4 linked regions of the Arabidopsis thaliana genome follow. The protein of the gene in region 1 interacts with the protein of each later gene in a pairwise test. Each region holds a gene or a part of one and is shown on either strand. Other genes may lie near its edges. The genes, in order: SLAH2, AT5G47570, AT3G17620 and AT3G13670.

Region 1 (5,708 bases):
TAACTTTTATCTGTGCAGACAATTCCTTCAATGTCTCCATCATTTGCTTCCTGAGACTTCTGTTTCTTGGCTTGAGGAGTACAAGAATCAGCGTCACTATCATTCTTTACCAACAAAGGAGGTTCAATTTCAAGGTTGGATCTCTTCCGAGACTCTGCTTCTACAAGTTGTGGTCTTGATGTTTCTTCTAATTCCATCTGCTTCAATTCAAGCTCTTTCAATCTTTTTTCCAATGTCTTCTCCTTAATCTCAAGACCTTTTCTCATCAGTTCAGTCTCCTCTCTCAATTTTTCAGCTTCTTCTTTCATCTTCAGCTCCAAAGTCTCCTCCTTTCTCTTCAATTCAGCAGTCTTCTCTTTGACAGCTTCCTCAAGTGCCCTGAGATCCTTCTCTCTTGCCTCACTTTCCTCATTCCGTCTCTCAGTCTCAGCTCTTTGTTTCAGATGAAACTCCTTCTCTGCCTTCTCTAACTCACACAACTTCTCAGAAACTCGGCAAGCCTCCTCTTTCCTCCCATCAAACTCACTCACCAGCTCCTCAAGTTTCTTCGTCGTCGAACGGAGAAACAAACCAAGCTTATTCTCCTCTGTTTTAAGTTGTGTCACTAAATCTTCACTCTGCTTCTCAAGCACCAATCTCATGATACTTGCTTCAATGACCAATCTCAAATCAGTTTCAATCTCTTTCTCCTCTAAAACACTTAACCTTCGAGATATTGACTCTTCAAGCAAACCAATCTCCTTCTCCTTCATTTCAACCACTCTCAGTCGTTCTTCCTTCTTCTCCAGCGAGGCGACCACGTCATCAAACTGAAGCGAAAACTCAAAAATTGATGAAGATTTTGCCTGAATCTTGTCTAGGATTTTGAGATACCCTTCACTGTTTTGCTCAGTAACGTCTGATTCTACTGAATCCCCTTGCATTGCCATATTCTCAGAGACATAAACCCTACTTTTTAGTTAACAAAAGATGGGTCATAAAGGAAGAAACTTTTCATGAAAAAATACAAAAATGAGAATGTACAGAAAGAATAAATAATAGAAACAAAAAGTAGGAAGAGAAAATAAACCTCTCTTGAGTTTGGTCTTCGGTTGACACCAACGGTGGTTTCTGAGCCGGCGTGTCTTCTCCGGGAACTAGTAAAACTTTCGGTTTCAACATTTTTTTCGCTGTACGAACGGAGCCTTTGAGCTTATCCAGGAATTTGAAGAAAAGTTTTAAACTTTCTTGGTAAGACTCAGAAATTTTGGTAAAGAAGAATGGCTTCTTCCCATCTCTCTTATGAAACAAGAAAAAATAGAATGCTTTATTTACTGAAAATGGAGGGAGAAAGAGAAACTAGTGCTATTTTGTCTTATTACCTTATAAATACAGCTTTCCTTTTTGGCCGTTCGATTGTATTATTTTAAGCCGTTGGATTATTGTACATCAGACGTCAGCTTTCTATTAACTCTCGGACAATGGGGTTTTGTTGTAGCCCGTTGGGCGTTGGATAAAGATCATGAGATTTGTGAAAGTGAAAGGATCAGCTAAATGGGCTTCGTAGGATGATTTTTGTTAGCCCATCAAAAGGTTTATGAAAGAAAAAAAAGGAATCAATCAGCCCAATATTACAAATTACAGAACCTCATTTTCTTAAATTACTATCACTATAATTCTAAACTTTCAAGATGGCAAAACAGTAGTAGGAAAAACATTCTATAATCGATTTTATTGACGAGTGTACGGAACGGATACTAAAAATCCGCAGACGCGACTAAACGAGAGTGCAAAGCCGCCTCTTTTATTGACTCCTTGACTTTCGAGTCCACTAGGACATTCCGAGGAACATTATCTCTACTCTATATATGTCTTTTTTACTTGTTTGCATATTTTATCCGAACGTTTTTGTACGATTCAATTTCAATGTATTCTTACGGTCGTTGTCCTTGTATTTATGGATTAACAGTGCCTTTAACAATAGCCTGGGACTACCTTCAGATTGGAGTCCATCACTTGATCATATCGGTTAAGATGTAACTGGACAAATATAACTCGAGAGACAAGAAGTAATGGTCAAAACAAAACTGCTCAAATAAAAACAAAAAAGTGAAAGACAAGATACTTTATCTGGACAGCACTAAAGCCAAAACACACAATATCTTTGGTTCTGGCCCACATATTTACCAAAATACCATTTTCAGAGGACTTATTTGACTTCACATACACAAAAGAGTCACACCGACTGATCAGATCCTCTGTTCTTTTCAAACACTGATCAGATCTACATTTTCTTTTTCCATCACTTTCTCTTCATTTTCTGTAAGTTTATATATACATTTATGTATGTGTGTGTGGTTTGCATGTTCGTTTTCGTAATATGTTAACAATAATATACAACTAACCCATTTGCAAAAGTTGGATGTGACGTTTTGATTCGGTTTTTATATATTTGGATCTTTATAAATATAGTTCCAAATTTATGTACTAAAACAGGGAAAACAATGAATAATCCAAGATCGGTTAGTCCTTTGGTTTCTCCAGCAAACCACTCAGATCTATTAGAAAACCAACGTCAATCCGGTTCTGGAGATTTCTCAAGATTAGAGAAACGAATCGGAGCGAGGAAGATGAAGTTTCATTCCAAGTCTATGCCCCGAGGTGCCATGTTTCTTGATCAAGAAGCATCTAGAAACTTCCACGACAAGAGGTATGACCTATTCAGGACCATGTCCGGGAAACTCGAACGTCAGATATCGAATTTACGTGGGAAACCCACTGAGAGTTCGTTGCAGGATCATAAAGAGATTACTGAATCTTTAACCGCTGATAGATACTTTGATGCTCTTCAAGGCCCCGAGCTTGAAACTCTCAAGGTATTTTATCATTCATTTTTGCTCATATGGTTGAGTTATACTTGTGTTTGGTTACTTCTATTTATGGGTTTATTGGTGGATGACAGGAGAAGGAGAAGATAGTTCTGCCTGAGGACAAAACGTGGCCGTTTCTTCTACGGTTTCCAATCACATCATATGGGATGTGTCTTGGAGTAAGTAGTCAAGCCATCATGTGGAAGACCTTAGCAACCACAGAGGCAGAGAAGTTCTTGCACGTGACTCAAGTGATCAACCACGTGCTCTGGTGGATCTCTCTCCTTCTCCTCCTCGCCGTTTCTATCACTTACCTCTTCAAAACCATCCTCTTCTTTGAGGCGGTTCGCCGTGAGTTTCGGCATCCGATCCGAGTCAACTTCTTCTTCGCTCCTCTTATATCAATCCTCTTCTTGGCACTTGGAATCCCACACTCTATCATCTCACATCTTCCCTCTACACTTTGGTACTTCCTTATGGCTCCCATCTTGTTTCTTGAGATGAAGATTTACGGACAGTGGATGTCTGGTGGACAAAGACGCCTCTCCAAAGTCGCCAACCCTACAAACCACCTTTCCATTGTCGGTAACTTTGCAGGAGCACTTCTAGGAGCATCCATGGGGTTGAAAGAAGGACCAATATTCTTCTTTGCCATAGGGTTGGCTTATTATTTGGTTTTATTTGTGACTCTCTATCAGAGACTTCCCACGAATGAAACCTTACCTAAAGAGCTTCACCCTGTTTTCTTCCTCTTTGTGGCTGCACCAGCCGTCGCTTCCATGGCCTGGACCAAGATCTCTGCCTCTTTCGATCTCGGTTCGCGTCTAGCATACTTCATCTCCTTGTTCTTGTACTTCTCTCTGGTAGTTTTTGTTTTCATTAACAGAGTTCTAGTGAGCTAGTGCTGAGTTTCTTGTGGTACAAGAAATGTAACAGCTTTACTTCTTGTGATTCTTGTTTCAGGTTTGTCGGATTAACCTTTTCCGGGGATTCAAGTAAGCTGTTTCTTGAACTGCAAGGATCTAATTTACCAAACCAAATAACATACATGTTATCTGACATAATTATTCAAAAAATATCAGATTCTCGCTAGCTTGGTGGGCTTACACGTTTCCAATGACGGCAGTGGCCAGTGCGACGATCAAATATTCAGACGAAGTCACGGGAGTGGCAACGAAGATACTATCGGTTGTGATGTCGGGAGCAGCAACTCTGACGGTGATAGCTGTGCTTGGGTTGACGGTGATGCATGCTTTTGTCCAACGTGATCTCTTCCCCAATGACGTTGTCATTGCCATAAGTGCAGAACAACCGAAGCAGAAGAGATGGTTCAAACATCTCACAAAAGAAAGTTATGGAAATAATGAGAGATGTCCCAAGATTTTGGATCCGGAAGATAATCAAATAGATTTAGAATCTCCTCCTTTAGTAAATGTAGATAGTTCCACGGTTCAGAATTCAAATTAACAAAAAAAAAAAATGTGATGAAAATTCATGATCTTTGTTAATTAACTTCTCATGTACAACACTATAGCAGTGCTAATAATAATAAATTAGCGAAAATCTTAATTATTTTGGTAAATTTTAGTTGCATACCATTCTTTTTACTGATCATGATAAATTACTTCTTCATTTCAGCAAAAATATAAAAACTATAATCACTTTGGCTTATTCTTTCGTTAGATTTAGTTATTATAGTATTGTTTGATTCAATTCAAGTAAAAACTATTTGAGTTATAGGCAAACTTAGTCACACCAACCGCAACCTTCACAATTTGTCTTAACAAGTTAGATCATATTTCGTGGAAATAATGTCTAGCTTAACATCTAATTTGTCGAATATATCTTAATGTCACTGTTATGTTAATTCATCCTCCATCTTTATACTTTGTCACCAAAACGAATCGTCTTGTCACATATGACATATGACAGTAAAAACAATGTAATAATTTCCTACACATCACGTTTTTGAAAAAAAACATCCTTCATCAACCGCTGGTCAATCTTGAAAGCATGGTAAATTCATTCAAATTACGTCAAATGATTCGTTCTACAAAACTCTCAGCCGTCGGATCATACGACTTTTGACTAAACCACTTAAACGACGACGCTTCGACGGGATTGGAAAACATCGGCGCCACATGATGATGATACGAACAACCGCGTTATTTTATATGTGCCGTAGGTACAACGCTGAGTTAGGCCCACCCAAAAAAAAGTTTGACATTATTTAAAACGAACGAATCTGAAAGAATAAAGCAGCAGAGTCCACTAATCAAACGAACCAGAATTTACCCGCACCCTATTTATTGTGGTCGCGACCACACAACATTTTCAACTTCTTCTTCTCTTCCGTTTCACCACCCTTTCTTCTCCTAAATTCGAAGAACCAAAACCAAAAACGTGAATTCGGAGTTATGATTTTGGATCTTCTTCCCGTCTTTATATATAATTTTCTGGGTTATGTTTTTCTTCTTCTTAATTCATCTGACCATTGGATTGGTTTTCGATTGCAGAGTCTTCAATTGGAATTTGGATCGTGGGATTTTGGAAATGGCATCGAAACGGATTTTGAAGGAATTGAAGGATCTGCAGAAGGATCCTCCTACTTCATGTAGCGCAGGTACCTATTCTTTTAGTCGATTTATCAACTTTGATTCAATAATTATGTTCCTCTTGCTGGATAATGATGGGTCGTTGGTTTTGATCTTCTTTTGAGCTGGTTTTTTATGTGTGCGACGGTTTGATATTGATCTCTCGTTAGCTTAGATCTAATTATCCTTGATTTTTAGGTAATTCAGCTGCTAATAACAGAAATTTGCATACTTCATGGTAACACTTGTTTGTGATTTTTCTAGG
Region 2 (5,580 bases), on another chromosome or scaffold:
TTATTATATGCAGCCTTTGGTACTCCTCCAGAGCCCAACTTCCCTGGTTCTTACCCTCCCCTCTCTTTTTTTTTTGTCCTTTTTCCTCCAAATTTAATAATAATAATCATATTGTTGTAATAATCATATAGATACAAATTTTCTTAGAAATGTTCAAGAATCGACATGTATTTGGATTTTTTAACTTGTCTGTCAAATCTCTCTAAGAGATATAGATGCACTTGGTCTAAAGAAGATAAGCACACATACACACATGCATGTAAAGATATACGTACGATGAGATTTGCTATATCCAGTTTGCCAACAAAGAGAAGGAAGACTTATAAGAACTATTCCCTCAAATATAACTGGATATAACATAATAAGAGAGAAAAATAGAGGTGTGGTACCAATCACAATCTTGTTTTGAAGGGGTCCAAAACAGTCAGGTTGAACAAGAGCCGGTACAAATGACACATAGGCAGATCACATTGATGATTTTGATCATGAAACTATTATTATTTACTCTTATGGAATATTTGAAAAGATTGAAAGAAATCCTTGACTCATGTGGCTGTCTTTGATTCCATCACTTGGAAAGTTTCAGTCCATAGATTCTATGATTTTTATTTAAGATTCTATGATTATCAACTATAGTTTTAATCATCTGCATTGTAGACTATGTAGTCTCTAAACTTGCCCCTTATTGTGACAAGTCTACATTAGACGTGTATTTGTACAAGTCAAATCCAATTCATCATCCCACAGTCACTTATCAAATTTCAAATTAGAGCTTCTTAAAGTATTCTTCTTAGTATAAAAATTTTAGACAAGTCACACCAATCTTTTATCATATTAATTTTTACCCGTAAGAATAAGATCTATGTTTACAAATACGAATTTCTTACTAAACTACTTGTCGTGATGAATTTTGATAGAGATAATCATCAGAGAAAACAAAGAGAACTAAATAAATGCGTATAAGATATGAATAATATACAGAAGAGGAAAGAAATACCGAATACGTAATGGATATAAAACCAAAGTTTCAATTCCAAGACGGATACGAACAAGTTCGAGTTTCTCTCAATGTCCCACTCACATGCCCCATTAGGTTTAATTTGTCTTTCTGTTTTTTTCTTTTTTCTTTTTATTGTAGCCTTTGTTTGATTGAAGTCGTACGAGGCTCAAACTTGGTTCGACACATGGCGCTAACTGAATTGCGAGACGATTGTTTTCTAAAAGTTACAAAACACAACTCAAGATTTCCTGAACCAGAAGTCTTCTCTTATGGATCTCTCTCACTGGTCACTGTTAATTACAGAGACAACGCATATAATAAAAACAAAGTCTTCTTTTTATTCTTTTGTCTTCAAGTTCTAAGCAGGAAACAACAAACATTTTAAAGAACAAAGCAGTGAAGAAAACACGCTTCCTGTTTTGATGAGCAGATCACTTAGATGGGTCTCTATGGCTCTCCTCCAAGCTCAACTCTCAGGTTGTCATATGGATACACTCTCGGTGTCTGCAACAACACAGTAAGAGATTAACATGATATGGAAAACAAGTTCCACAATGACACAAAAGCAGAGAGATGATATGCCACAGAACAAATTCTAAAGTAAAAGAGAGCAGCAATTCAACTCATGTATAAACAAGAAGATATAGAGCAACTTCTCAGCCTTGGAGTGCTGTTCAACCTCTATAACCCTAAGTTCTTCAAAACAAGACACATCATAATAGCCTTTGATACAAAGTCTATGATTCTTGGCCAACGGACACTAAGAGAAGTAACATTTGGAGTAAAAAGAAGAACAGCAATTCAACTCATGTATAGACAAGAAGACATAGATCAACTTCTTAGCCCCGGTGTGGTGTTCAACTTCTATAACTCGAAGTCCTTTAAAGAAAACTCATTATAGTATAGCCTTTGTACAAAGTTTATGATTCTTGGCCAGTCGACACTAAGAGAACCAACTCATCGATTTTAGCTGCTCATGCACCTCAAAGAGCCTTCATGTCTTTCTTACACCTCTAAGAGATGCCACAGAACAACTTCTAGAGTAAATGAACAGCACCAATGTCTAGACAAAAAGCCAGAGCACCTTTTTTAGGCCTAAGTCTTTTACTCGGAATCCTTCAAAACAAGACTCATCACAGTATAACCTATTAACCTTTGATACAGAGTTTTTCATTCTTGGCCAGTGGACACTAAGAAAACTAAAACATAGATTATAGCTGCTGGTACATACACCTCTAGCATACGCTTAAGCATTTACCGAGTTCCCAAGAACACTGTGGGTGTTTCTTTCAAGTGTTCCTAACTACAACGTACATGCTCAAATTAATTAAGACAGGATTATGGAAGCAATGCGGACATAAGATTCATCTAGTCCAGTAACTTTGGTCAGATGCAAAAGCAAACAGCAAGAATTGTTCATGTTCATAAACAGACAAAATGCAGAACTGAAAGCTAAATATTGCGGCAATTCAGCAAATAAAGAAAAGAACATTGACACATTCTCTGTTACGCGAGCATATTTTGTAGATTCCTATGTTTTCTGTCCACATTTAGTTAATGAGTTTCTGAAGATTCCAGCAAAAACCTATTCTCAGAAATAAGCCAATGCCAAACATATGTATCAAATTCAGAGTTGAACAACATACATAATAACAGCTGCATAGGGATGATAGATCTTAGCATAATCATGACTTCGATCATCACACTCAGGACAACAAAATGGGCTTGATTATAATTTCGAAAGTTGAAAGCTTTGAACTTACAAATGGAACCTTAGAAGCTTTGTCGTTCAAAACAGCGAGCAGACCGAGACCAACAAAGAACCCTAATCCGCCACTCAACCATGCCAATGCTTCATACTGTTCACATTAATCCAAAATCAATCAGAAAAGCAATCTCTTTTTACACCGAGAATCACCAGCAATTAGAAATCGTGTAACCAAACCTTTCCGACGGTATCAGCAATCCGATCTATGCAAGGCTCTGGAAACGCAGTCCCGTTGTCCCACATCAGCTCGTCGTTTACCGATAGCTGACCCGCACAATTTGTAAACATCAGATTTTCAGAAGAATCTAACAAGAAATTTACAACAGAAATTTGACTCACCGGCTTATCGGGGACGATGTGTTTGCCGACGGGGAGACCCATTCCGGCGCGTTGACGGAGAGAAGAACCGACGGATCGGGCAACGACGCCGTTTCCACCCATGATTCGTGACGCAACACCGCTCAATCTTCCAGCCATTTTCGCTCTTTTCAGGTTTCGATCCAAAATCCAATCAAATTACAGATAGAGAGAGAAGAAAGACGCAGTCACTGAAACGATTCCCTGAAACGCCATCGTTTTAAAAGAGGTCAATATTGTAATTTCGATTAACGAATTTTAAAACCAACGAAATGAGCAAACACATACACTTCAAGTGTGTCAAAAAGCTTCAGATTCTTACTATATACAAAGAGATTCATGTGGTGAATACACAAAGGTACAAAAACAGAAAAAGCTACAACCTTTAACATATCTATAAACTACTCAACAGTGAGGCGCAGTTCGTCCGAGTCGGGATAAACTGTCTTGTTGTTATTATCACATTCGCAAGAGTTAATCTTGTAGAATGCTCTCCATTCGTCGATGTTCTTCATCTGATCACATCTCAATTTAGGTAACCTTCTTCTCTCTAAGATCTCTAGAATCTTCTCTGTTCTTCCCAGATGCAGAGCTGCTCCTCTTACTGATTCTTCCCTTACTTCTACAGCTGACACCAAACACTTGACGGATATCACTTGTGCTACGTTGCAAAAGCAACCTGACACTATGTCTGATATTGTGCTTTCCAGCTTTCTCAACAGAGCTTCCCCTGTTCCATAGTCTCTTGATTCGTAAGTTAGTAGAATTGTTTGACAGATTCGGTACATGGAGTTGGCTGCTAGAGTCTTGATGGGCCAGTGAGAGGGCTTGTGCTTCATGCATACCATCAGGTTCATCTGCCATGACTCTGAGAACTCTTTCTTCGCGATTTCCATCAGCTCCCGAAGGGTTTCTTCTGGATTTCTTTGTTGCTTTGATAGTTTCCGAAGATCCACATCAAACCACTTGTGATAGAGATCAACACCTAGCCAAACGACCTCAGCAGCTTTCCTGAGGTTAACTGACTCTCCTCCGGTATCCAGGACGCATTCAAACTTGTTGACATATTCCAGTGCCTCGTTGACAGCATTGAGTAACTTCTTCAGGGAGGAGGGCTTGATGTCGGGAAGTGCAACAGCAATACTTGTGAGTGTTACAAGCGGGAGAGCCCAACAATTGGGCGGTTCTCCGTGGGCCAGAGAAGCCACCTTGTTGCTGTCGAACTCTGCAATCCCTTCAAATCCTTTTGAAATGGGTGTTGTTGCTTCCAAAAGCTCTATCAGATTCACTGGTTGTTTCTTTCTGCCCTTCTCTATCCAATGATCTGTCGCTTCCCGGTTGCTCCGCACCATCACATCCACCAGCGGGTCCTCTCCTTCAAGGTGCAGGACAAAACTCGCTAGGTCCTGTCTCGAGCTTGGATTTGAATCGGATTTTTCTGACTCACTGTGTGTGATAGTATTACTGGTCCTTAAGGCGAAATGACAGCACAACAAGATCTTACCCACACAGGATACCGAGATGTAACGGATAATTTTGCTACCAAACACAATCACATACTGTATCACAATACATACATCCAATATCCAGCGTTTTGCATTGTGTGCAGTCTTCCTGTATCTGCGTTCTTTGAGGATCCAAAGGCTTAAGGGATGTTGCTTCTTCTCTGAGAACCAATGTGTCCAGTAACTCTCTATTCTAAACTCATCTCTATAATACTTCTTTCCTCTAATCGGACACCTGAAGTTCACAGCCGTGAACCATCTGATCGCAGGAGCAATGGTCCCTATAGCTACAGTAGTAGTCTGGCAAACAAGAACCAGAGAAGTTGACCATTTGTAATCAGAATCTCCATGGCAGAACCCAAGTGACCTTGGTCTTAAAAAGTAACTCCTAACCATAGCTTCACCAAGCGTAATGGCACTCAGGAGACAGAAGAAACCAGAAGCAGTGCACGTGACAGAACGAGCCATCACGAATTGAGGGCTACTAGTATGAGCCATCATCCAAAACTTTGACAAATCTTGCTGAATTTTCTTAGCAACTGTTCTCTCTGTAGCCAAAGGACACTTCATAGCAACGTCGTACCTCTTATTGTACTTACTCTCCAAGATTCTTTTCGTAGTGGGAACTGTGGTGGCCGAGAAACACAAGATCATAAGCATAAGAAGCATGAGAAGTACGACCAGAAAATGTTCCTCAGAGAAAACATAAATCGCACCAGTACCCAACTGAATACAGATGTTAACAACATCAGTGATGACAAGAATCCCTAAAGCCATAAGATTCATGAGGAGATCATTGTTGTCCATAATACCCAGAGAAGGCATCGAATTACCCATCACAGTACATACAAAGACGGTGCTGCTGAGTTTAGCTAACTGATCCTGACGACTCGGCATGGAAGTGTTGAGATCCACAGAGAGTTTGATTCCGACAGCGATGAAAGTCAGAG
Region 3 (4,849 bases), on another chromosome or scaffold:
CGATCTGAAATTCGAATTTGAGTTTCCTGGGAAATTTGTACCAATATCTGGAGAATTAGGGATTTTGTTCTTCGATATCTAATTAGATCATTCTTGATTGATTAATTCTATTCTCTGTTAAAGTTTTTTTTTTTAATCTTGATGTGTATTTGTTGAACAGCATAAGGACTTGAAGCGTTTATTTCTATCAGCGTTCTACCATGTTAACGAGCCTCACTTAGTCTATAACATGATGTCACTTCTCTGGAAAGGTATCAAGCTTGAGACATCAATGGGAAGCAGTGAGTTTGCTTCAATGGTCTTTACTCTTATTGGTATGTCTCAAGGAGTCACATTGTTGTTAGCCAAATCGCTTCTTCTCTTGTTTGACTATGACAGAGCTTACTACAACGAGTATGCGGTTGGGTTCTCGGGTGTTCTCTTTGCTATGAAAGTTGTTCTTAATTCTCAAGCTGAGGATTACTCAAGTGTGTATGGTATCTTGGTTCCAACAAAGTATGCTGCTTGGGCAGAATTGATTCTAGTGCAGATGTTTGTACCTAACGCTTCGTTTCTTGGGCATTTGGGTGGAATCCTTGCTGGTATTATCTATTTGAAGCTGAAAGGTTCTTACTCAGGCTCAGATCCAGTCACTATGGCGGTTAGAGGTGTATCTCGATTGGTGACGTGGCCCTTGAGGTTTCTGAATGGTATGGTTAGGTCTCGGAGAAGGAGGATTACGGGGAGAGGAAGAGTGGGAAGAGGTCAGACTGGGATAGCAGGACCTGGTATTTGGAGATGTCAGTCGTGTACATATGACAATTCTGGTTGGTTAAGTGCTTGCGAGATGTGTGGCTCGGGACGGGCTAGAGGAAATGGATGGTCACTGAATCAGGGACCAGCACTTTCTTCTTCTAATGATCTCCCTTTAGATGAGCTGCGCCGTCGAAGAGTAGAGAGGTTTAGTTGATCTCGGGAGCGCATTCTTAAAGCTGAGGAAGGATTGTGAATGAAGCTTTGTTGAATCATTCATTGCATTAGCTTATGAATAGCAGAGTTAGTGGTCGTGTTTTTCGATCTGTTTCTTCAATTTGTCTTCTCTTTTGTTGTTGAAGATTTGGTTCTACGTGAACTGGTCCTTTGATTAGATTGCTGAAAGTAGCGAGTGATTCAGATAATATAGTATCTTCACACCAAACTTACAGTTTCACAGACTTTCGATTTTAACAAAATTTTATCCTATTTCAAACCAAATTTTGTTGAAAGAAGAAGATCACAAAGCAAGATATAAATGTTAATCAGTAATCAATTTCCCTTTTTTCTTCCTTTTGCCTCCTTGCTTGATTTGCGCTGAGCTTGGAACATACGAGCACACAAGTGGATCTCGAATTTTATCAGTAGTTTTTCCGAGATCCACTTCTTTGTAATATCCATCCTCTCCAATGATGTAAGCTGTGTTGTGAGTGGGATACATTACATCTTTGTCTTTAGCAAAGACTACAACAACTTTCTTCTCTTCGTCAATGATGAAACTCGCATCTGCAATTCCAAACTTAAAATCAGTGAGTGGTTGCATATCCACTGCTAAGAACAACTTGCTCCACATCACCTCTTCAGGTTCAATCTTAGTCGTAACCCAAATCTCCATATGTAAGTTGTCCTTACGCTGAAATAACACAGCAAGTTGCTCTTCTCTAACACTAGAAAGACTCACAGTATCTACATCCATAGGGTAACACGGCAAATGAAGACGCGGCCCAAATCTCTCCGATGTAAAATTAAAACAGAGCAAGAAATAAACACTATGTATAAGATTACTGCTGATTTCTGGAAACTTGTCTGTAGCAAACCAATAAGTATTTCCCTTGAGAGAGACACCTCGTGCATAAAACTCTACTTCCCAGTCGGAAGTGACATCGAGAACCCTCCATGAATTAGACTTTAACTCGTATATTTCGTACTCAACAAATTCTTCTTCGGCAAAATCAACGAATCGCAAAACTTTGTAGCGTAGGCTTGATTTACGCTTCTCGTATCCTATAGCACAGATATACCAGTCCATTCTATGGTCAGGACTACTGGGTTTGAGCCACAAAGTTTGGCTCCTATACGGATTCCAAACCACGACCCTAGTGTAGTCTTTCGAGATACATAACAGTAAACCGTCGCAGTGATATACTTCAGATATATCGATCTGATCTGTACCGTTTAGGCTAACAAGTTTAGCTTGACGGTTTATAGACGGGTCAAAGCCGTTGTGAATTCCACGGAGGTTGATGCTCGTTAGATAAACCTTACAATGCAAGACCATGACAACCTTAAACTCACTTTCCCTTGATGTTGCTTCCTGAGCAAGGTGCTTCTTTGTAAAGCTCCGCTTTTTGGATAATGTTTTCCAATTTTTGCAGGTAAATCGCGCTTCTCTCAATGATTTCACCGGAACCCTAGAGAGTCTCTCCTCCAACAAATCTCTTGGAAGATCGGACATCATCTTCAAATCTTTCAAATTTGAACAAGGATCGATGTAACACAAATTAGTTAGGTTTGAAACTTCAGTAAAAAGCTCTCATGTTTCCCCACAGGAACCCTAACTCAAGCTGGGCCGAAACACAACTCTGCCCTCTAAAAATTTCCCGGAATTATTCATCTTTTTGAACTCTTATTTATATGACTGTGATGTCGTTTCATTTATGGGCTTTATTATTGGGCTTTTAGCCCAACTGTAGTTAAAAACTTTTTAGTGATTCTCATTTGTATATGGCGGGGGAGATGATCGACGGTCGCTTCTTGCGGTGGAGATGGAGGAGGAAGACTCTCCTCTCCGACTGCGGCGATTGAACCGAGAGAGCCACCGAAGATTCGAAACCTACAAAATATAGAGGGTGATGTAATCCAGCGTCTGAGCTCGCTGAGAACAGCCTCGACGCCGATTCCAATTCAGTACGGTGGCTTAAAGCTCCTTCAATTCTCAGACCATGGCCAAGGCTCTGTATCTTTTGCTCACTGGTTCTACCATTGTGAGTTCTTCACTACCACCTGCTTTGAATTCAACTACAATCTATCTACAAAATTCTCTAGCCGAAACCTTTCAAGTTTTAGCATGAGACCCTTAGCTTCAATTGTTTTTCTCTTGGACACTGTCTAACTTTGATTCTTCTTGGAATTGATTAGGAAATGGCTAAGAAAGTTGGAGAAGTTATAGAAAAATCCTGCGTAGAGAATGGGATCACAAAGGTGGCCTTTGACCGTGCAATTTACACTTACCATGGCTTTAGCTGCTTCAGCAAATAGAACACGGTCTCCAATTTTAAGTCTTTTTTTGTTTTGTCCTTCTCAGAAATTTGCTTGTATAGAACCCATGATTGAAATTTAGATTAGTCGGCTTGGAACAGTGTTAACTTCTTCCTTTTTAATGTGTTCATTTGTTCTTACTACTTATGCATCTCAAGAATGTTTATATCGTCTATACGATGATAATATATTTGAAAATGGTTGATGTTTACAAAGCTTCAGAAGGTAAGACATCAAATGTGCTGCTTAGTTAAGAGACAGGTACAAGTGCTTGCAAATTTAGGACAGAAGGACAAAGACAGAGACGAAAACTTCGGCGCAGTGAAGGCAGTTCATATCTGCGAAGTATAGATGCGATATGGTTGGAAGTTAAGTAACTGATAGTCTATAAATAGAAAAGTGCGAGGTATATGCCCACCCTGGAGTTGGTATGTCCGCTTCTATCTCATCTACCTATTATTAGCAAACTATAGACGTTATTAGTTTTCTGTTTTTTCCTTTTATATACTCACTTCTTTAATGTAGATTCTGTTTAATAAAAACAGTAACAGAACAGAATAAAATCTTGATTTCTTTTTTTTCCTCCCATTCAGGTCTCATACTTCGTTTGGCAATGCAATGAGGGAGCAGCCAAGGCAGTATTGAAGGGTGAAGCAGTATCTCGTTTCTTGACCAATCATCAACCTGTAAGTAGATCTCCACTAGGATGGCAAGCACCAACGTTACAGGGCAATGCCCGGGTCCAATGAAGGCTACCTCCAATGGAGCCTTCCAAAACGAAAGCCCTCTTGATTTCGCGCTTCCTCTTATCATCCTACAAATCGTCTTGGTGGTTGTGTTTACAAGGCTCTTAGCTTACTTTCTTAAGCCTCTCAAACAGCCCCGAGTCATTGCTGAGATCATTGTGAGTTTCCTACTCAATCTCTTTGTATTTTTCTTTTTCTGTTTTGATGAAATCACATAGCAAAAGAGACTAAAAGGGATGGTTCTGTAGGGAGGGATACTGCTTGGACCTTCTGCACTAGGGAGAAGCAAGGCCTATCTTGACACCATCTTCCCAAAGAAGAGCTTGACCGTTTTAGACACACTCGCCAACATTGGTCTTCTGTTTTTCTTGTTCCTAGTTGGGCTTGAGCTTGACTTTGCAGCAATAAAAAAAACTGGAAAGAAATCACTATTGATAGCCATAGCTGGGATCTCACTTCCTTTTATAGTGGGTGTAGGCACATCTTTTGTTCTCAGTGCCACCATAAGCAAAGGAGTCGATCAGCTTCCTTTTATTGTCTTCATGGGTGTTGCCTTATCAATCACTGCCTTCCCTGTGCTTGCTCGTATACTAGCTGAGCTAAAGCTTCTAACAACTGACATTGGACGTATGGCAATGTCTGCAGCGGGAGTAAACGATGTTGCAGCTTGGATACTCCTTGCGCTTGCTATTGCTCTCTCAGGAGATGGGACTTCTCCTCTTGTATCTGTTTGGGTTCTTCTCTGTGGAACTGGATTCGTGATCTTTGCAGTTGTGGCAATCAAACCTCTGCTTGCTTATATGGCTAGACGCTGTCCTGAGGGAGAGCCTGTA
Region 4 (7,921 bases), on another chromosome or scaffold:
AGACATAAACGAAGCTCGGATTGTATCGTTCTTTTTAGCTTTTATTCACATCCGAAAGTCCTGTAGTTTAGATTCTGTTATCTTGCGGTTTTGAGTTAATCAGAAACAGAGTAATCAATGTAATGTTGCAGGCTAGATCTTTCATCTTTGGAAATTTATTTTTTTCTCATGCAATTTCTTTAGCTTGACCATGAGTGACTAAAAGATCAATCAGTAGCAATGATTTGATTTGGCTAAGAGACATTTGTCCACTTGGCATCTTGATTTGGATGGTTACAACTTGCAAGACCCAATTGGATACTTGCTATGACAACTCCAACTCAAGAGTGTCGTGTAACTAAGAACCTTGACTAATTTGTAATTTCAATCCCAAGTCATGTTACTATATGTTTTTTTGTTTGTATTATTTTCTCTCCTACAATTAAGCTCTTTGACGTACGTAATCTCCGGAACCAACTCCTATATCCACCATTTACTCCACGTTGTCTCCAATTATTGGACGTTGAAACTTGACACAACGTAAACGTATCTATGTGGTTGATTGTATGTACATATGTACAAACGTACACCTTTCTCCTCTTTCACTTCATCACTTGGCTTGTGAATTCATTAATTCCTGCGAAATGGAACCTCGAATCAATGACCTTCAGGTGGAATCTCGGGTTCATGAGTTGCTCGATTTTCCGGTTCATACAAACCAGATATCCTCTGCAATCTACGAGGTATGTATATCATATCATATTGATACTACTACAATAAGAACACAACAAGTAATATACAGATCCTATTGCAGTGTCCCAACGACCACATCGAAAACCCTAAGAAGAAACCGTACAATTGTCCACACTCAGGAGCCAAGTGTGATGTCACAGGAGATATTCAAAGGCTACTACTGCATCTAAGGAATGATCACAATGTTGAAATGAGTGATGGGCGTAGTTTCAGTCACAGATATGTTCATCATGATCCTAAACATCTTCATCATGCTACTTGGATGTTAACAGTAAGTTATATAACTGATTATCTTGCTCTGTTTCTGCAACTTTGTGAATTTTTAAGTTTTAACCCACTTGAAACGATGCAGCTTCTCGATTGTTGTGGTCGAAAATTCTGCTTGTACTTCGAAGCGTTTCACCTGAGGAAAACACCAATGTACATGGCCTTCATGCAGTTTATGGGAGATGAAGAAGAGGCAATGAGCTTCAGCTATAGTTTGCAGGTCGGAGGGAATGGCAGAAAGCTGACATGGCAAGGCGTGCCGAGGAGCATTCGTGACAGTCACAAGACGGTTCGTGATAGTCAAGATGGCTTAATCATCACTCGCAAATTGGCTTTGTTCTTCTCTACCGACAACAACACCACCGACAAGGAGCTGAAGTTGAAGGTTTCAGGTCGTGTATGGAGAGAACAGCCTGTTTCGATATGAATTCGATAATTAGGTTACAGAATTGGACAACTATAGAATATTTGGTGACAAAAATATCTTTTCTTGATTTAAAAATTAAATATAGCAATTTCGAGGGAAATGTGTAGGTAAACTGGTGATTATGGCTCAATCCCCTTCACAAGGGGGGAATAAACAACACAATCACCACATTTTTGCTTCACAATTCAACTGAAAAAAAAGAAGAAGCACAACAGAGCCTGAGAGGCCATAGGGTTGGATAAGGAATAGGAGCCGAGACTTAGAAACATATTTCTCTCGTCCTTCAACAGTTTTTACTAATAAGTCTCAAGATACAGTTCGGCCATAGCTTAACGATGCAAGGTAGAGATTCTTTCCCCATTTTTCCTGCACAACAGAAAATTGCATCTCCGGTATTGTTCATGGGAAGGGAGAAAAAGAGTTCAAGATATTGATTAGTAATCTTTTATAGCTGCTCTACTCACCTTGACGTGTGTGCTGGGGAATTGAGAGGTACGTAACGTCTCTTGTGTCTCATCAACAAGTCTACGACGTGGGATGCTTAGGATGAGAGCAGCTTGATCGGTTGTGGCTGCTGTTGATGTGATTCTGAATCCACCATCCCAACGCCTGTGGATGCCTTCACTTGGATACAGAAAATCAAGTTCCACAACCTGTAGAGGAGATATAAGCGAAAACAGGAGAATTAGAAATCAACGCGACAGATCCAAAACTGAAGGAAACGGAAGAAATTCATCTATATCGGTGAAGTCTAACCTGTTCACTGTAGCCAGAATTGCGGGACATAACAACACCCCATCGATTTCCAGCTGTTGCCATTGAGGTTACATGGAAGCCTTCTCTCCATTTCTTGTTTATCCACTTGAACGGGAATGAATCGCTTACTTTGTAAGACTGCTGTGTATACTGCGTACCTTCATAATTCATTTGAAAACCAAACATAGAATAAGCCACAAATTCAGAGACTAGTAAAATACCATAATGACGAAAGTGTTCAAAAGTATTCATGAAAAGTGTAGATACCTTTTGACATGACAACTAAGGAGCTTCCATTGCTTGCACCAGCAATAGAACTAATGTAGTAGTTCTTCTCCCACTGCTCCATAATCCATTCCTGATTCAAAACAGAATTCACTCTCAGGTAAGATCATCTTGACAGAACACAGATATAAAAATAACTAACAGAGAAACATCAGACAACCTTGTGCAAGAATACAGGAGAGAGTTCATAGACTTGGTGCGTGAAGCCAGTTCCAGCATCCATTATCAATGCCCAGAGATTCGAACATGATGATACACAGCTTATCAACAAACCATCTGCAATACCTCTCTCAATATGCTGTGCCAGTCTTATATCAGCCACATTATAATGATACCTGGTTAAACACATAAATTGTGAGTCCAAAAATAGTTTTAGACACATTAAGGCCAAAAATCCAAGATTATAATATAACCAAGAGAAAAAATGAGACACAAACGCAGTCCCAGCAGTTAACTGACTGTATAAATAATTAACCATGAATTTTTTTACCTCTGCTTCATTGGTTGCCTGGCATTGTAAATCGATATCCATTGCGTTGCAGGGACTCCTAGACGGACCTTTTTCCTAGGGGCATCTTCTTCTTCCTCCCCAATGCTCAACCTACCTCGCTTCTGGCCAACTTGGAATATGATCTAGCACAAAAGAAAACAATTACAAGATGTTAAACAACAACTCCTAGATATCCAAATAGGAACGAAAGGGAAAGATATACAGCATGAAAATGTCACCTTTTGAGCACCCTCTGTGTTTATAGGCCTAATTGCCGGATTTTCGCCCAAGAGGTCTTGAAACAGAGATACTAACTTTCCATAGTTGGGTTCTTCATCAAATTTCATATTTACCACGATCTCAAGAAATTGTTTGAAAGGAGGGGGACAAAAACAACAAAGCATATCCGGCGATGTTGCCATCTTCTTTTTGCAAACAAGGAATGACTTGTTATCTCCCTGAAAATTGAGTAAGAGACAGGATTAGCAGAGAAAGAATCATGCAACAACATGATTCTACAAAACAAAATGATAGGTCTGCAGTACCTGATATCCTTGCCATGGCAATCTACCTCGGTGAAGAAAGATCAGTGTATATGCTAATGATTCCAGATCATCCCTTCTGCTAGCAGTTCTCCCTAAATGAGCATGTGCACTTGCGTATCTAACTGTCCCTCTATAAAAATTAAGAAGAGAGAGATTCAACAAAAGGTAAGAGCGAGTATAAAACAAATTATATTAGGTAACAGTAGAAAATATATTACCTAAACATATCAGGACGTTGATCATATTCAACATGTTGTCCGCTACCACCTTCTCTCCACTTTGTAGCTGAAAAGTTGGTTGAAAAATGAGAAAGGTAAAGAAGAACCTAGCAAGAATAACAAAGAGAATGAAATCAACCTAGTCCCAAATCAACAAGAAACAGTTTTTTCTCTTGAGACGTTGAAGGCTGGCCGAGTAAGAAATTTTCTGGCTTAACATCCCCATGCACATAACTGAAACCGAAGTAAAACATGACCTGTTAGGCTAGTTAATAGAGAGAAAACATAAGAACTTAGAGGTGCCGAGACTCCAAACAGGATATCAGAAGAAACCTCGGACAACCTAATTAAATACAAAAACAAAAATAAAGTTCAATTACAAACCCTTTTGCATGCATCTTTTCAAGGATGGAAAGTGATTCAACCGCAATGCAAGCTACCATTTCCGAGGACATTCTGCAAAGCAAAAAGGGGGAGAAGAATTGTTAGGGAAGTCGATTTTTTAAAAGCAAAATGTTACTCAGTATGGACTTATGTATTTTTTTAAAAACAGGGAGTAACACCACATTTCAAGTCACAATTCCAAAAGAATCCAAATTAACTTAGGATACTCATGTATGGAAACAACGCTAATTGAAAAAGAGACAAGAGCTCCCCAAGGATGTGTAATGGAGACTCACGCTTGCCCTGAAGTATTCCATAAATCCCATAAGCTAGGCCCAAGCATGTCCATAACCTGAGGCCAAAACAAAGAAGAGAGGATCTAACTTCAATGATACAGACAGGAGAAAAAAACAGAAATAGGAGAAAGGGGGAATCCAGTACCATGACATAATAGTCTCCTTGCCTGCCTTTGAAATGTACTCTAGGGACTCCATGGCTACCACCCAAGGTGCTGTTCACAATAAAAGTAAAATGTCAATTTCACATTTCAAGTCAAGGAAGCACCTACAATCCAGGTAAATGAATTTAAGAAACATTGAAAGAAAGACAGGAGAATCGAAACACCCACTTGTAAACCTGCCACTCATGTGGAGGACCATAGTTGCAACCCTTGCTGCTCCTATGCTCAAACTTTAGAGCAACCTATATAAGAAAGTGAAGATGTGAGACACTGTAAGCATAACTAAGCTAATAGAATGATATTTATGGTGACAATCCTCCACAGCAGTAAACGCAGACTGAGTTATATTACCTCCAAGATGCTAGCTCCTGCACTACGATCATTACCGCCACTAATACGACGTCCGACAAATACTTGTCCAAAACCACCCTTCCCCAGCTTTCTCTCAACTTTATATAGTGGTGATCCTCCAACTTGAACCTGATACGGAATCGTTAGTCATTACCATAGAAAGATGATAAGCAAGCCTACAATGAAAAGTTCAATAACCCCAAACAACACAAAAACTATGCAAATCAATTATACCCTCTCAGGGAAAGGAGCAGTATTTCCTTCTTCTTCCTGAGCAGCCGCCTTGTTAGAGCCACCACTATCATTACCAATAGCCATATCTTTCTTCTCTTCTTCAACGACTACCTCTTTACCCTTGTTTTTATCGATATCGCTATCCTTAGACGGCACAACAACCGGAATCTCCTGAGGTATCTCTTTATCTTCCTCCTTTAATTTCCTCGCCGCTAATCTAGTCCTCGGCCTCTCTGCAACTCCTGTAACTCCGCCGGCAACCGGTTTTGGAGCTTTAACGGTACTCTTCTTCGGTTTCTTTTCTGTAGGTGTTTGCGGAAGCTGATTGGGAGCTACAGCATCAGTAACACGGCCACGGCGGACTCCACGGCGAAGCTCCGGCATAGCTCAAACCCCATGCAATCGAGACGGGACACGAAGAGTCCGATCATTATAGTCCTCCGAAAACGAGGGCCTGGGTCATGTCGGATTTGGTAAGCTATTTGATATATAATCGGAGATTCGATTTGCCGATGATGAAGATGGCGATTTAGGGTTACGACGGTTCAAGTTTGCGATGAGAAAAATAGAAGTTTATGGATGAAAGTTCCCAAAATGGAGAGAGAAAAGAAGACAGGCGATGTGAAAAAGGCGATATTTATGCCACGTCAGATATTCTGAAGAGGAAGAACCAAAAAAATTTGGAAAAATCAAATTAATTTTCCTTATGACAAAAATTATGTAATAATGATGTGAATGGACTTTTTTTGCGTCACACGGTCCGTGACTTGCGACTAATTTGGAAACAAACGTTTCACGTTTTTGTTAAGAAATAAAAAATTTGATTTCTTTTCTTACAATGGTTTTATATGTTTACTATTTTGAATGTCTTTTCTATTTCAAACAAAAAAGTAGCTAAATGTATTATTTAATTTCTCCGTGTAATATCAAAATTGGTTTTAGACAATAAATAGGTTTGATTTGGTGTTTTTTTTTTAAGGTTTGATTAGCTCGTGATTGGGCTAACTAATCATTATATTTATTTGAACATTTATTTTCTATCAAAATTTCAAATAATTTATTCGCTAATCAGTTGATGATTTTCCAAATTAACGCGGAGTAGAGCCTTTGTGCCACTTAATTTGACCAAAAAATGTATGTTTAATGTATATATAAACAACTACTTATTTATTTATTTTTTAGATGAATAAAATCAAACCATTACAAGATAAAATACATTATTTAACTTGGGAAAAGACAATAACACTCTCATAACAAAACGAGACATAAAAACAAATAAGTAATGAAATCAAATGAACAATATTCCAAACTTAATTATTTCAGTAATGCAGAATATAACAATTATATTCAACACTAGATTCACCGCGGAGACAATTCATTTTTTAAAATTAATATATGTAAAAATTTGTAAATTATTTTATAGTTTACAATTGTTACTAAGTAACATCCTGTCAAACTCGTCCCGCCAAACCCGTCCACAAAAAAAATTTATTTATTTTATTAATGTTGATCTTATTTATAATATATTTATGAATCATTGTCAAAATATTTTATTCGTTGCGGGACGTTGAATCCATACATTTTTCGCCAATTAGTTAATATATGTTCATTCTTAAAATTTTGAATCACAAAATATGACGATTTTTTTTTTGAGATTTTTTAAACTCTATATATTATATAATGATGTTAATTTTTTTGATATATTAAACTTTTTATAAATTTAAATATTAATAGTGTTTTATGAATTTTAAATATATAAATAATAATAATTAAAAAATTAATATTTTTTGCCTTTTAGGTAATGATATAATAATTCTAAAAGCAAGAATTTAGAAGATTTAAATCTTTAATTAAATATTTTCATGCCTGAATAATTAATGTCAGTAGCATGACATTGTAAATAAGTTCAAATACATGATTTGTTTATTTAAACAAAAAACGTTTAGTAAGAACAATATTTATTTAAACAAAAAACTTTGTTTTAAAATATTGTTAACAAAATACTTTTATGCTAATTTTAAAGGATTGATGTGCAGTTTGTTTGGATTAAATTTGATTGATAATGTGATTGACAATTTAAATTAAGAATTTAATGTAAAATTAATTATTTTGAAAAAAAAATTTAATGCTAATGGCATTGGGTTGTAAATAAGTTCAACTCTAAGATTTATTTGTTAAAATGGCTGCAAAAATGTATATGTAGATTGGCAACACCGGCCTTGAGATCAAACGACTTGGTGCGAGCCTCGACATAACCTCTAGCAAATCGAAAGATTCCACTACCTCCGACCACCGGCATTTCCCTAACCTTCGACATCACCACGTTCCGCCCAAGAATCGTTATCGTACTCCCATTGTACTTCCCCGTAGTGAAAGCAAAGTTCATCACCATCAAGAAGCCTATCTCTCCTTGGGCCGCTGCTACGTACATCCCTTGGGCTTGGCCCACCACAGTCGCATTCCTTGGCACATCGAATGTTAGTGGATCGTCCATCATGGTGATCGATCCGGATAAGGAAGAGTTCAAGACCGGCTGTTGGATCATCACGGAGCTAGGGTTTCTACCGTTTACAGAGTTGTGCCAATAGACTCGGAGATGAGTGAGTTTCTCCTTTTTGTAAGGGCCAAGGTGTTTCCCGTTCATGGTTCTTCCCAATTCATCTCCGACGGAAGCAACGGCATAGAAAAGGAGGATTTGTGCGGCGAAGATAAGGATGAGGTTAGTCATGTTGTGGTTTTTGTGTCTCTAGATGAAGGTTTGTGCTATAAATA

The links.
Region 2: the proteins of SLAH2 (region 1) and AT5G47570 interact in a protein complementation assay, tested with the Arabidopsis thaliana proteins (one large-scale study listed by BioGRID).
Region 3: the proteins of SLAH2 (region 1) and AT3G17620 interact in a protein complementation assay, tested with the Arabidopsis thaliana proteins (one large-scale study listed by BioGRID).
Region 4: the proteins of SLAH2 (region 1) and AT3G13670 interact in a protein complementation assay, tested with the Arabidopsis thaliana proteins (one large-scale study listed by BioGRID).

The regions. Positions count from the first base shown.
Region 1 is NC_003075.7:13,916,898-13,922,605, reverse strand, and holds SLAH2 (SLAC1 homologue 2), read left to right. Parts: upstream 1-2,253; 5' UTR 2,254-2,301; exon of another isoform or gene 2,302-2,475; 5' UTR 2,476-2,483; coding exon 2,484-2,855; exon of another isoform or gene 2,856-2,941; coding exon 2,942-3,712; coding exon of another isoform or gene 3,713-3,751; exon of another isoform or gene 3,752-3,812; coding exon 3,813-3,844; intron 3,845-3,931; coding exon 3,932-4,316; 3' UTR 4,317-4,441; downstream 4,442-5,708. Other genes in the region: AT4G27980 (trichohyalin-like protein (DUF3444)), read right to left, coding at 1-951, 1,070-1,161; UBC9 (ubiquitin conjugating enzyme 9), read left to right, coding at 5,313-5,472. UniProt on the Arabidopsis thaliana protein: Slow, weak voltage-dependent S-type anion efflux channel involved in maintenance of anion homeostasis.
Region 2 is NC_003076.8:19,291,422-19,297,001, forward strand, and holds AT5G47570 (NADH dehydrogenase ubiquinone 1 beta subcomplex subunit), read right to left. Parts: upstream 3,380-5,580; 5' UTR 3,246-3,379; coding exon 3,108-3,245; intron 3,033-3,107; coding exon 2,946-3,032; intron 2,860-2,945; coding exon 2,764-2,859; intron 1,505-2,763; coding exon 1,448-1,504; 3' UTR 1,166-1,447; downstream 1-1,165. Other genes in the region: ASG7 (uncharacterized protein), read right to left, coding at 3,527-5,580. UniProt on the Arabidopsis thaliana protein: Accessory subunit of the mitochondrial membrane respiratory chain NADH dehydrogenase (Complex I), that is believed not to be involved in catalysis. Complex I functions in the transfer of electrons from NADH to the respiratory chain.
Region 3 is NC_003074.8:6,025,225-6,030,073, forward strand, and holds AT3G17620 (F-box and associated interaction domains-containing protein), read right to left. Parts: upstream 2,471-4,849; coding exon 1,274-2,470; 3' UTR 1,222-1,273; downstream 1-1,221. Other genes in the region: RBL14 (RHOMBOID-like protein 14), read left to right, coding at 161-949; AT3G17626 (structural constituent of ribosome), read left to right, coding at 2,955-2,996, 3,151-3,270; CHX19 (cation/H+ exchanger 19), read left to right, coding at 3,977-4,174, 4,265-4,849.
Region 4 is NC_003074.8:4,467,046-4,474,966, reverse strand, and holds AT3G13670 (Protein kinase family protein), read right to left. Parts: upstream 5,815-7,921; 5' UTR 5,534-5,814; coding exon 5,150-5,533; intron 5,045-5,149; coding exon 4,916-5,044; intron 4,807-4,915; coding exon 4,733-4,806; intron 4,616-4,732; coding exon 4,546-4,615; intron 4,457-4,545; coding exon 4,401-4,456; intron 4,177-4,400; coding exon 4,105-4,176; intron 3,955-4,104; coding exon 3,860-3,954; intron 3,788-3,859; coding exon 3,721-3,787; intron 3,633-3,720; coding exon 3,503-3,632; intron 3,416-3,502; coding exon 3,197-3,415; intron 3,101-3,196; coding exon 2,958-3,100; intron 2,803-2,957; coding exon 2,628-2,802; intron 2,541-2,627; coding exon 2,450-2,540; intron 2,406-2,449; exon of another isoform or gene 2,341-2,405; coding exon 2,183-2,340; exon of another isoform or gene 2,080-2,182; coding exon 1,891-2,079; exon of another isoform or gene 1,793-1,890; coding exon 1,733-1,792; 3' UTR 1,427-1,732; downstream 1-1,426. Other genes in the region: AT3G13672 (TRAF-like superfamily protein), read left to right, coding at 624-722, 794-1,426; AT3G13662 (Disease resistance-responsive (dirigent-like protein) family protein), read right to left, coding at 6,497-6,502, 7,362-7,877.